Zea mays: one gene and its partner. The protein of the gene in region 1 interacts with the protein of each later gene in a pairwise test. Links are inferred from orthologs where the notes say so. Each region holds a gene or a part of one and is shown in the gene's direction. Other genes may lie near its edges. The genes, in order: two-component response regulator-like PRR1 and protein TRANSPARENT TESTA GLABRA 1.

What was found.
Region 2: the proteins of two-component response regulator-like PRR1 (region 1) and protein TRANSPARENT TESTA GLABRA 1 interact in binary tests that used the Arabidopsis thaliana proteins (3 or more experiments, as listed by UniProt). The link is inferred for Zea mays from reciprocal best matches to the Arabidopsis thaliana genes TOC1 and TTG1.

What each region holds. Positions count from the first base shown.
Region 1 is NC_050099.1:145,826,793-145,831,349, forward strand, and holds two-component response regulator-like PRR1, read left to right. Parts: upstream 1-1,456; 5' UTR 1,457-1,585; coding exon of another isoform or gene 1,586-1,733; intron 1,734-1,955; coding exon of another isoform or gene 1,956-2,065; coding exon 2,066-2,117; intron 2,118-2,208; coding exon 2,209-2,342; intron 2,343-2,466; coding exon 2,467-2,634; intron 2,635-2,806; coding exon 2,807-2,888; intron 2,889-2,996; coding exon 2,997-3,850; 3' UTR 3,851-4,097; downstream 4,098-4,557. UniProt on the Arabidopsis thaliana protein: Controls photoperiodic flowering response. Component of the circadian clock. Expression of several members of the ARR-like family is controlled by circadian rhythm.
Region 2 is NC_050100.1:204,509,116-204,513,669, reverse strand, and holds the start of protein TRANSPARENT TESTA GLABRA 1, read left to right. Parts: upstream 1-1,500; 5' UTR 1,501-1,704; coding exon 1,705-2,766; 3' UTR 2,767-2,770; intron 2,771-4,554. Other genes in the region: pale aleurone color 1, read left to right, coding at 377-526.

The sequences.
Region 1 (4,557 bases):
GTGGAGCACGAAAAAGTCCACGTTGTGCACTTGAACGCGGCGTGCAATGATGGCGTTCACCGGTTGGATCGCTGCATCTTGGCCAGCGGCGTACGCCTCCAACAGTGCATCATCGACGACATGGAGAACTTCACGCATTCGACGGATGCGAACGAAAACGGTTTGCTCCATGCCTCTCCTGTCGTTTTGGAGGCTGGTGCCTCCGTTCTTGTCAAAACAGCGAGCGTTCTTCTTCTTCTCTCTCTATTCTCGTGAGCACGTGCTAATAATGTGTTGTAATTAGTGAAAACGAGGTTAGTGAGAAAGTGACAACAGTTAGTTCTTTATTACAAAGGTGTTTTGTTTATATACATATGAAGGGGTGTATCACAAAGGGGTGTATCCCTTGGAAAAAATATGTCGCATTCCTTGGATCTTTGATTGGTCACATATACTCCCTCCATTCCAGAAAGGTTGTCGTTTGACTTTTTTTAGACCAAATTTTTACCGGTTTGGCTTATTCAAAATATTTGTGAAAATATAGAAAGTTTTAGTTTATAATTAAAGTAAACGGTATGATACTAAATCATAATGAAAAATAATAATTATAAATTTTTTTGAATAAAACGAGTCAATCAATCTTTATCTCAGAAAAGTCAAATGATATTCTTTCTGGAACAGAGTATAATATTTTGTAACAACGAGAGGAGATTAGCGCGAGGTCGCGCTCCTGACCCCACCTAGCCGGTCTGTGTCTGTCCTTCCACGTAATGACGTAAATAGTAACACTGTCCAGTCCAGGAGCAACCCAAAAGCGTGGGCGTGGCTCCACCTCGTCCTTTTGCCAAAAATCGCAGTACAGGTCTAAAGAAATCTAAAATCGCACAATCGATGGCCGACGAGGATTATAACATTTCAGCGACTAGTTCGCGGACACGTAGCCAAAAGCGAAGCATTTGACGGAGGCGAGTTTTAGATATTTTCACCCGCTCCGTCAGTCAGCTGCTGCTTGCACGAGACGTCGGTACGGGCGGCCGAGATCTCCTGGCCGCCTCGCCCAAGCGCGCTCAGCCGTTCCTTGCTTTTATTTTACTCCCCGGCCGCGGCGCCGTGCGGCTGGCTCTGCATTCTCCCCTCCGGCCCTCCCCTCGTCTTCTCTTCTCTTCTCCCCGCGGAGCGAGCGAGAGAAGCAAGGCCGCTCCGTGCCCCCAACCCCGCTCACTGAGCAAAGCGGAAAAAGCGAGGAAAATATCCTGCTCCAGCGAAGCACCGCAGGCCGCAGCCGCAGCCGCAGCAGAGAAGAGCAGACGCCATCGCCCGCAGCCGCCGCCCCCGGAGAATGGTGCGGGCCGGACCGCGACGGGCGAAGGAGGGCGCCGCGGCCCCCGGCGGCCCCCGCCGCCGCTGATAGTAGTCTACCTGCTGCTAACCAGCCATCTGAAGGCACAGTGGTCGCACGCGAGGGGCCCGGATTGATTGGGTGATAGGCGGCGGGCGCAGATCCACCGACCCCCTCGTCGTGCGCCTGTGTCTCTGGTTCCGGTCCGTGTCCCCTTGGCCGCTTGGTGGAGGCCGGAGGCGTGGTCGGTGCGTTTGGAGTTTGGGTATGGCGGGTGGCGGCGAGGGGGATCGCGTGGGTGTCGGGGGAGCCCAGCAGTTCGTGGACCGGAGCAAGGTGAGGATTCTTCTCTGCGACGGCGACGCCACCAGCTCCCGGGAGGTGCTGCGGCTCCTCTGCAACTGCTCATACCATGGTTAGCCTTAGTCAACCTTTGCACCCCCACGTACTTAGTTTCTCTAACCGTTGGGATTTCCGGATTTAGGACTCTGCTTGCTTCTCACCATGGGCTTAATCATTAGTAGTACTATAGATACTACCAATACGATGGCTTGTAATGATAGGGATCTGTTGGGTGTCATGTGTGCCTTCAGCTTACTGTTGTGCTGCTGTTGTGACGGTAAACTTTCTCTTTCAGTGACCTGCGCCAAGTCTCCGCGGCAGGTGATCAATATCCTCAACTACGAGGGCGGCGAGATCGACATCATCCTGGCTGAGGTCGATCTTCCGGTCTCCAAGTGCTTCAAGATGCTCAAGTACATTGCCCGGAACAAGGACCTGCGTCACATCCCCATCATAAGTAGGCTGCATTCCTATACTCTGCCTGCCTCGTGCCTGTTACTGTGATTGTGCTTGCTGTGACCATCCTCCTGTTCGATGGAACCGTGCAGTGATGTCCAACAGAGACGAGGTGTCTGTTGTTGTCAAGTGCTTGCGGCTTGGCGCCGCCGAGTACCTGGTGAAGCCGCTGCGCACGAATGAGTTGCTGAACCTTTGGACCCATGTGTGGCGGCGGAGACGGATGGTAAAGGGCACTATGCTGACTCACCTTAACCTCTGCGTTTAGAAGCATGCTCTAGGCTGAGATGCTCGTAGGCGTTGATGTACCGCCGTGAATTATTCTTTAAATCGAGTGCTGGTGTTGGCAGCTTGGTTTGCCCGAGAAAAACTTCTTCAATGACAACTTCGAGTTGGTGCTCTCAGAACCTAGCGATGCCAATACCAATAGCACCACCCTCCTCTCAGACGAGACCGACGATAGGCCTAAAGGAAACACGAATCAAGAAACAGGCACCTCAAAGCAACTTGAATACGAGGTAATGAACCAAGCACCCATTTGGAAGATTGTTGCAGTCCAGGTTTTTTTTATGTTTCCAGTTCTGTTCTTTGACGTTGCCACAAAGATCTGCCCTTTTGGCTCTATGTTGTATGTTGATGACATGCTAACAGTATACTTGTTTAAATGCCCTTCCACTTGGCGTGTTTCAGTCTAATCCTTCGGTTGCTGAGCCCGACCAGAGAGAAAAGATGGAGGGTGTTCCAGGCTCTGCCCTAGATGCCAGTAAAAAATGTAAGATGTTTCAGCCGGACCTTTGTTCTGCCCTGGAATATCTGATCTTGTATTGTTAATCACCTTTATTTCTCTATCTGTTTTCTGATCAATTATTTTAATTGCCAGCCTCTCCAAGAAGAGCGTTTTCACGCCCTATAAAAACTAACCTGAGGGTTGCCGAGTCGTCTGCATTTCTAGCATATGTCAAGCCAAGCACCCCAGCCACCAGCTCATTTGACAGCGAATTACAAAGGGGTGGCAGCCGATTAGATTCCTTGGATAACCAGGGTAATTGCTCTAGCGCAACCGATAGAAGTGACACTGGTACTGATGTAAATATTCGGAGTAAAGAAGCTTTTGAGATGCCTGCGCAGTACCCTATGGTATGGTTTTCTTCCTCTAACATGCATATGGAGCGAAGCAGCGAAGGCCATAATGATACTTCAGGAACTCCACCTGCATACCATTTCCCATTTTATTACCCAGGGATGGTAGAGCACAACATGGCACTTTCGTCGGCGCAAGATTTTCAAGCAAACATAAACAATGCTCAAGCACATACACCGCCAGCGATGCTTCCTCAGTACAATGTTTATCCTCAGTGCCATGGTTTACCTGTGATACCATCATTTCAGTTTAATCCTTCTGGCATGAGTACGCACTCAAGTCATTTACCAACGCAAAATGTGTGGTCATCGGCATCGAGCACACCACCAGTGCCTGAGGAAACATGCAGTCGCTCTGAAAGGAGGGCTGCAGCACTTGCCAAGTTCAGGCTGAAGAGGAAAGAGCGCTGCTTTGACAAGAAGGTGAGGTATGTGAACCGGAAGAAACTCGCTGAAACGAGGCCAAGGGTGCGAGGTCAGTTTGTTAGACAGCCAACCAATACGGATGTCATCAGCATTGGAGATGATATATCTGAAGACGAAGATGACGATCCATCGTCCAGGGAGGTAGATATGGTTTCTTCTCCAGAGTAGTAGTGGAGAGGTCCTCCATGTGAAAAAATAGACTGCAGATGGTTACTGCTCATCTTGTTACAACTCAGTAGACCTAGGCAATACACCCTTTTTGCTCACACACAGTATTACATTTTTGTCCCTAAAACATGTGGCTGTTACCCTGGTTGCTTTAATGAAGAAATCATCTTTGATAAAGTGTAGCTGAAGTTTTGCTAGTTATTGTTGCACAGACCAGTCTAATCAATATGATCTTATGGCAGGATAATCTTTTGAGAAAAACAGGGCTATTATTGTACATTCCTCCTATTATTCCTTATTCCATGTGTCTTTTAGATGACCAAGGATCCATTTCTGGAGGAATGGGGAACTACGTTGATTAATACTCATATGTTTATGTTGTGTGTTAACTAGTCAATTTATAGGTATCACCCAAAAATTCAGCGGCAGCTTGGACAGATCAAACAACTTTATATCCTAAACAATGAATTAAACAAGGAAAATTGTTTAACAGCCAAGAGTTAAAAAAACAGTTAAAACGGTAAGAGAACAGACTTAAGGCTCTTTGATATCTGTGGAGTCGTTAGAACTTATGAGGTTTTTGAATGCACTAAAATTAATAGTTAGCTGCTAAATTTAGTTATAGTTATCCAAACAATCAAGCTAATGGTTCAACTATTAGCTACTTTTAGCGAATTATCTAATAGTTAGATAGTTACTCCCTCCGT
Region 2 (4,554 bases), on another chromosome or scaffold:
ATATTGGAAGTTTCTTCCTTGTTTCTGTGCCACCAGTATTAATTTTTCGCCTTGGGTCACGTGCAATGTGTTGAGCCCGAACAATTGACTAGTTCTTCTTTGGGGGTCACATGAGCGAATTTAAAAACTATTTAGTTGCCTTGGAAGATTCACAGCCCTGAGGGGACAACACGATGTATCTAGGAAATTGCCAGTCTTTTTTCCACATGTTGCCAAGTTTTTATTAAAAAACAAATAGGATGATGCTGATTGCCTCTACAAACTTAAATAAACAAAGATTACACACGAAAGCGCAAAAGGATGAATCTAGGAAATTCCTGCCATTTCATATGGTGAAATTTCTTAAGCTCACAGGTGGTGTTGATCTGTCTTGCAGACCGTCGGGAACAAGTGCTTTGAAAAGTGCGTGACCAAGCCAGGATCAAGCTTGAGTGGAAGCGAGAGCAGCTGCATATCACGTTGTGTTGACCGCTACATTGAGGCCACTGGTATTGTCAGCCGCGCATTGTTCACTTCCCAGCGCTAAGATCACATGAATAAGGAGATGGTTTCGAAGATCGCTCGTGAGAGTAATGTCGCCATGAGTTTTTTGACTTGTCGGAATACAATGACATTTGATGCTTGGTTATTCAAAAAAAAAGTCTGCCTATAGACTCAGGTTTCTTGTACACCTATCTGCTTTAGTAATAGAGAAACGTGCTCTATTTAAGTGGCTCTGATGTTAATTTATGCTCATCATGTGGTTTGTTTCGCTTAATGTTGTATGCTTCTTATGCCTGTTTGTTGCCCAAGCCTTATCGAATATCGTGAAGGATGTGTTGTTGTTATTCGTCGATTACGTGCTCTTCATCAAAGTTATCTGAGCATGCGCATCCTGCCAGGATGAGATGCGCATGTCCCCGGCGCTAGAAATGAACCATGGAGTCGACGTCGACGAACTCATGTCCCCGGCGCTAGAAACGAACCAAAGATTCCCAGTCCACGAAATGACCTGACCAGGGATCCGGTGACATGGGCAACAAACTTTGACCAGACGACGGCTGACTCGTCGCCGGGAAGGATTACAAAAACCGGTCGAGATTCCCATTATCGGTAACGTTTTCGAGTCGACTTTTAAAAATTCGTCCAAAACGTATTTTTTTATTTTTTTTATAAAAAAATAAAAAATATGATATAACCACGTGTTCTCCTGGTACATCTTATATTTAATTTTATTTTTTTAAAATTAATCAGCATTTTTGTAAAAACAACGAAAAACCGGTAAAAAATTAATCAGCATTTTTTTGTTTAATTTGAAGAATATAAACCGGTCGAAAAATTTAGAAACTGACGAAAACCGGGTTTTAACTATTTACTGATTTGTTGATTTACAGATTTTCGAAAGTTTTTTAATTTAAAATTTAAATCGTTCAGTTTTAGCAAAAACCGTCGGTTTCCTAGAGGTAAACCGTTTTCGTTGACTACTGGTTTTTGGTAAACTCTACCCACGTCATCCCACGTTCCAGTTCCACTTCTACCACAACGGCACAACCTCAGTCCTCAGCCCGGCGAGCCGCCGCCCGCATCGTTCAACCCCCGTGCCCGGCCGCCGTTTACCTACCGCTCGCACGCGCGCGTCGCTCCTTTTATCACCTCTCAAGTCCCAGCAGGATCGGCCCCCGCGCAGCTTCGCCCCCACATCTATCGACCCGAATTCTCCACTCAATGGACCCACCCAAGCCGCCGTCCTCGGTCGCCTCGTCGTCGGGGCCGGAGACGCCGAACCCGCACGCCTTCACCTGCGAGCTCCCGCACTCGATCTACGCGCTCGCCTTCTCCCCCGTCGCGCCCGTCCTCGCCTCCGGCAGCTTCCTCGAGGACCTCCACAACCGCGTCTCCCTGCTCTCCTTCGACCCCGTCCGCCCCTCCGCCGCCTCCTTCCGCGCCCTCCCGGCGCTCTCCTTCGACCACCCTTACCCACCCACCAAGCTCCAGTTCAACCCCCGCGCCGCCGCGCCGTCCCTCCTCGCCTCCTCCGCCGACACGCTCCGCATCTGGCACACCCCGCTCGACGACCTCTCCGACACCGCCCCCGCGCCCGAGCTCCGCTCCGTTCTCGACAACCGCAAGGCCTCCTCCGAGTTCTGCGCACCCCTCACCTCCTTCGATTGGAACGAGGTCGAGCCCCGCCGTATCGGGACCGCCTCCATCGACACCACCTGCACCGTCTGGGACATCGATCGCGGGGTCGTGGAGACGCAGCTCATCGCGCACGACAAGGCCGTGCACGACATCGCCTGGGGGGAGGCCGGGGTCTTCGCCTCCGTATCGGCCGACGGCTCCGTCCGCGTCTTCGACCTTCGGGACAAGGAGCACTCCACCATCGTCTACGAGAGCCCCCGCCCCGACACGCCGCTACTAAGGCTGGCGTGGAACCGCTCTGACCTCCGCTATATGGCCGCGCTGCTCATGGACAGCAGCGCCGTCGTCGTGCTCGACATACGTGCGCCCGGGGTGCCGGTGGCCGAGCTGCACCGGCACCGGGCGTGCGCCAACGCAGTCGCGTGGGCGCCGCAAGCCACTAGGCACCTCTGTTCGGCTGGGGACGACGGGCAAGCATTGATCTGGGAACTGCCTGAGACGGCGGCGGCTGTACCCGCCGAGGGGATTGATCCTGTGCTAGTGTACGATGCAGGCGCCGAAATAAACCAACTTCAGTGGGCGGCCGCGCACCCGGACTGGATGGCCATCGCCTTTGAGAACAAGGTCCAGCTTCTTAGGGTCTGACAAGGTTGGTATCATGGTGATCTTTGGTTTGATGCTTTCATTTCTATATAGTTTCTGTTGATTATGTCAATAAATTTAGATTTAACTAAGGGTCTGTTTGGATGTAGATATTGGAGATGTTGGTATTGAATTAGATCCAATACCTTATCTGTCTAGTATTGGAAATGAGGTTCAATACAAATATGTTGTTTGGGTGTATCTGGAATTGCAATTCCATACAATACCTAGAATCTTGGATCTGAATTGTGAGAGACACTTTTTAGTTAAAGTTCAATTCCAAGGAATTGAACTTTAATTCCAGCTCTGAATTCTTTAGCCAGCCAAACAGCAGAATTTAGAATTCCTATTTCCAATTCCAGTCTTGAACATCTACATCCAAAAGGGGTATAAAGACTATCACGCACATTGTTACACATTGGCATGAGGTAGTGTAATTGTACAACTTTACTGAAGATTCATACAGAGCTAACTCTGTCAGTATTACCATATATGGTAACCTAATTTTTTTAGTCCTATGAAGCCTGGAAGTTGCTATTTTTTGCGCATCTATTATGAATTATCCACAAGGACACGAGCTGCTTTCTTTTTCTGTATGTGCTGATTATAAGTGCTAAATACAGTATTTAGTAAATGCATGTATGAGGAATTTAGAATAAGTTCGTCTTTATTTGAAAATTCCTTGGAACTTAAGCTAAATCGATATATAATTGGTGATCTATGTTATCACTTTCCAATGCAAACATGCAGTCCTGAATTGAACACTCTTTTTGTGAACTTGAGAAAAAGGTCCAGTTTTCACCAAGGAAGTTCAGGCTAGTGTTGTGCTAGCTGAATGAAGGTAAATGGTTCCATAAATAGGTTAAACATAATGTCAACTAGTAAATTGCTCGCGCTCCGCGCAAGGTGTTGCTTGATATGTTTATAAAAGATATAGAATTGTGTAGTTTCAAACATGTATATGTACATATATACACATAGAAGCGCTAAAATTTCTAAATTTATAATTGTTTATAGTATCAGGATAGTTCAGACTGAAAATATAATAGAATGAGCAGTCTAAATGTTATATTACATTGATGTGGTATGTAGGAGCTGAGTTCCATGCACAGAATCAATAAATTTCTAGTCTTAGAGAAGACCAAACTTTTTTTTTTCAAGGTTAAAGTACGAAGTACCAATAGTACGTACTTACACATAGGAGCGATGCCAAATTATAAGGGTGTGCACATGCACCAGGGTCCAGGGAAGAAAAATACAGTAGTAAGTTAGCTGATTTCTACAATATAATCATCACTACAAAATTGCCATTTTTAGAGGAAATATGGTAATATGCAAGTTTTCATTATATTATTATGCATTTATGTATTGTGTTTGACTGCTTGGTCTTTGAAATGAAATCATTCCACATGAAAGCTATTAATATTTAACCCTTAAATGATATTATTACAGGTAGTTGTAGGTTAGATGTAATGTGCTAGATTGTCAACTGAATTGAACATGGCATCTATGAACTTGGTAAGAAAATATAGAATGTTCACCTGCATACTCTGGCGCAAGGTACCCAATAGTGCCAGCAAGTCTTGTGTCTATGGTCTACGGAGATGCACTTCCCATCATCTGGTGTAAGACTAACCAATCTAAAGTTCGCCACCATGGCTTTCATGTCAGTATGTTTGATGGATTCAAGTCTATGTGGATAAAGGTCTGCTGGGCAAGGCTGGGAAGGTAGTAAGGTACTCAACGGCCCTTGCAACATCAAGCGCAAATGTGCAATAGCGGCGCCGCTGT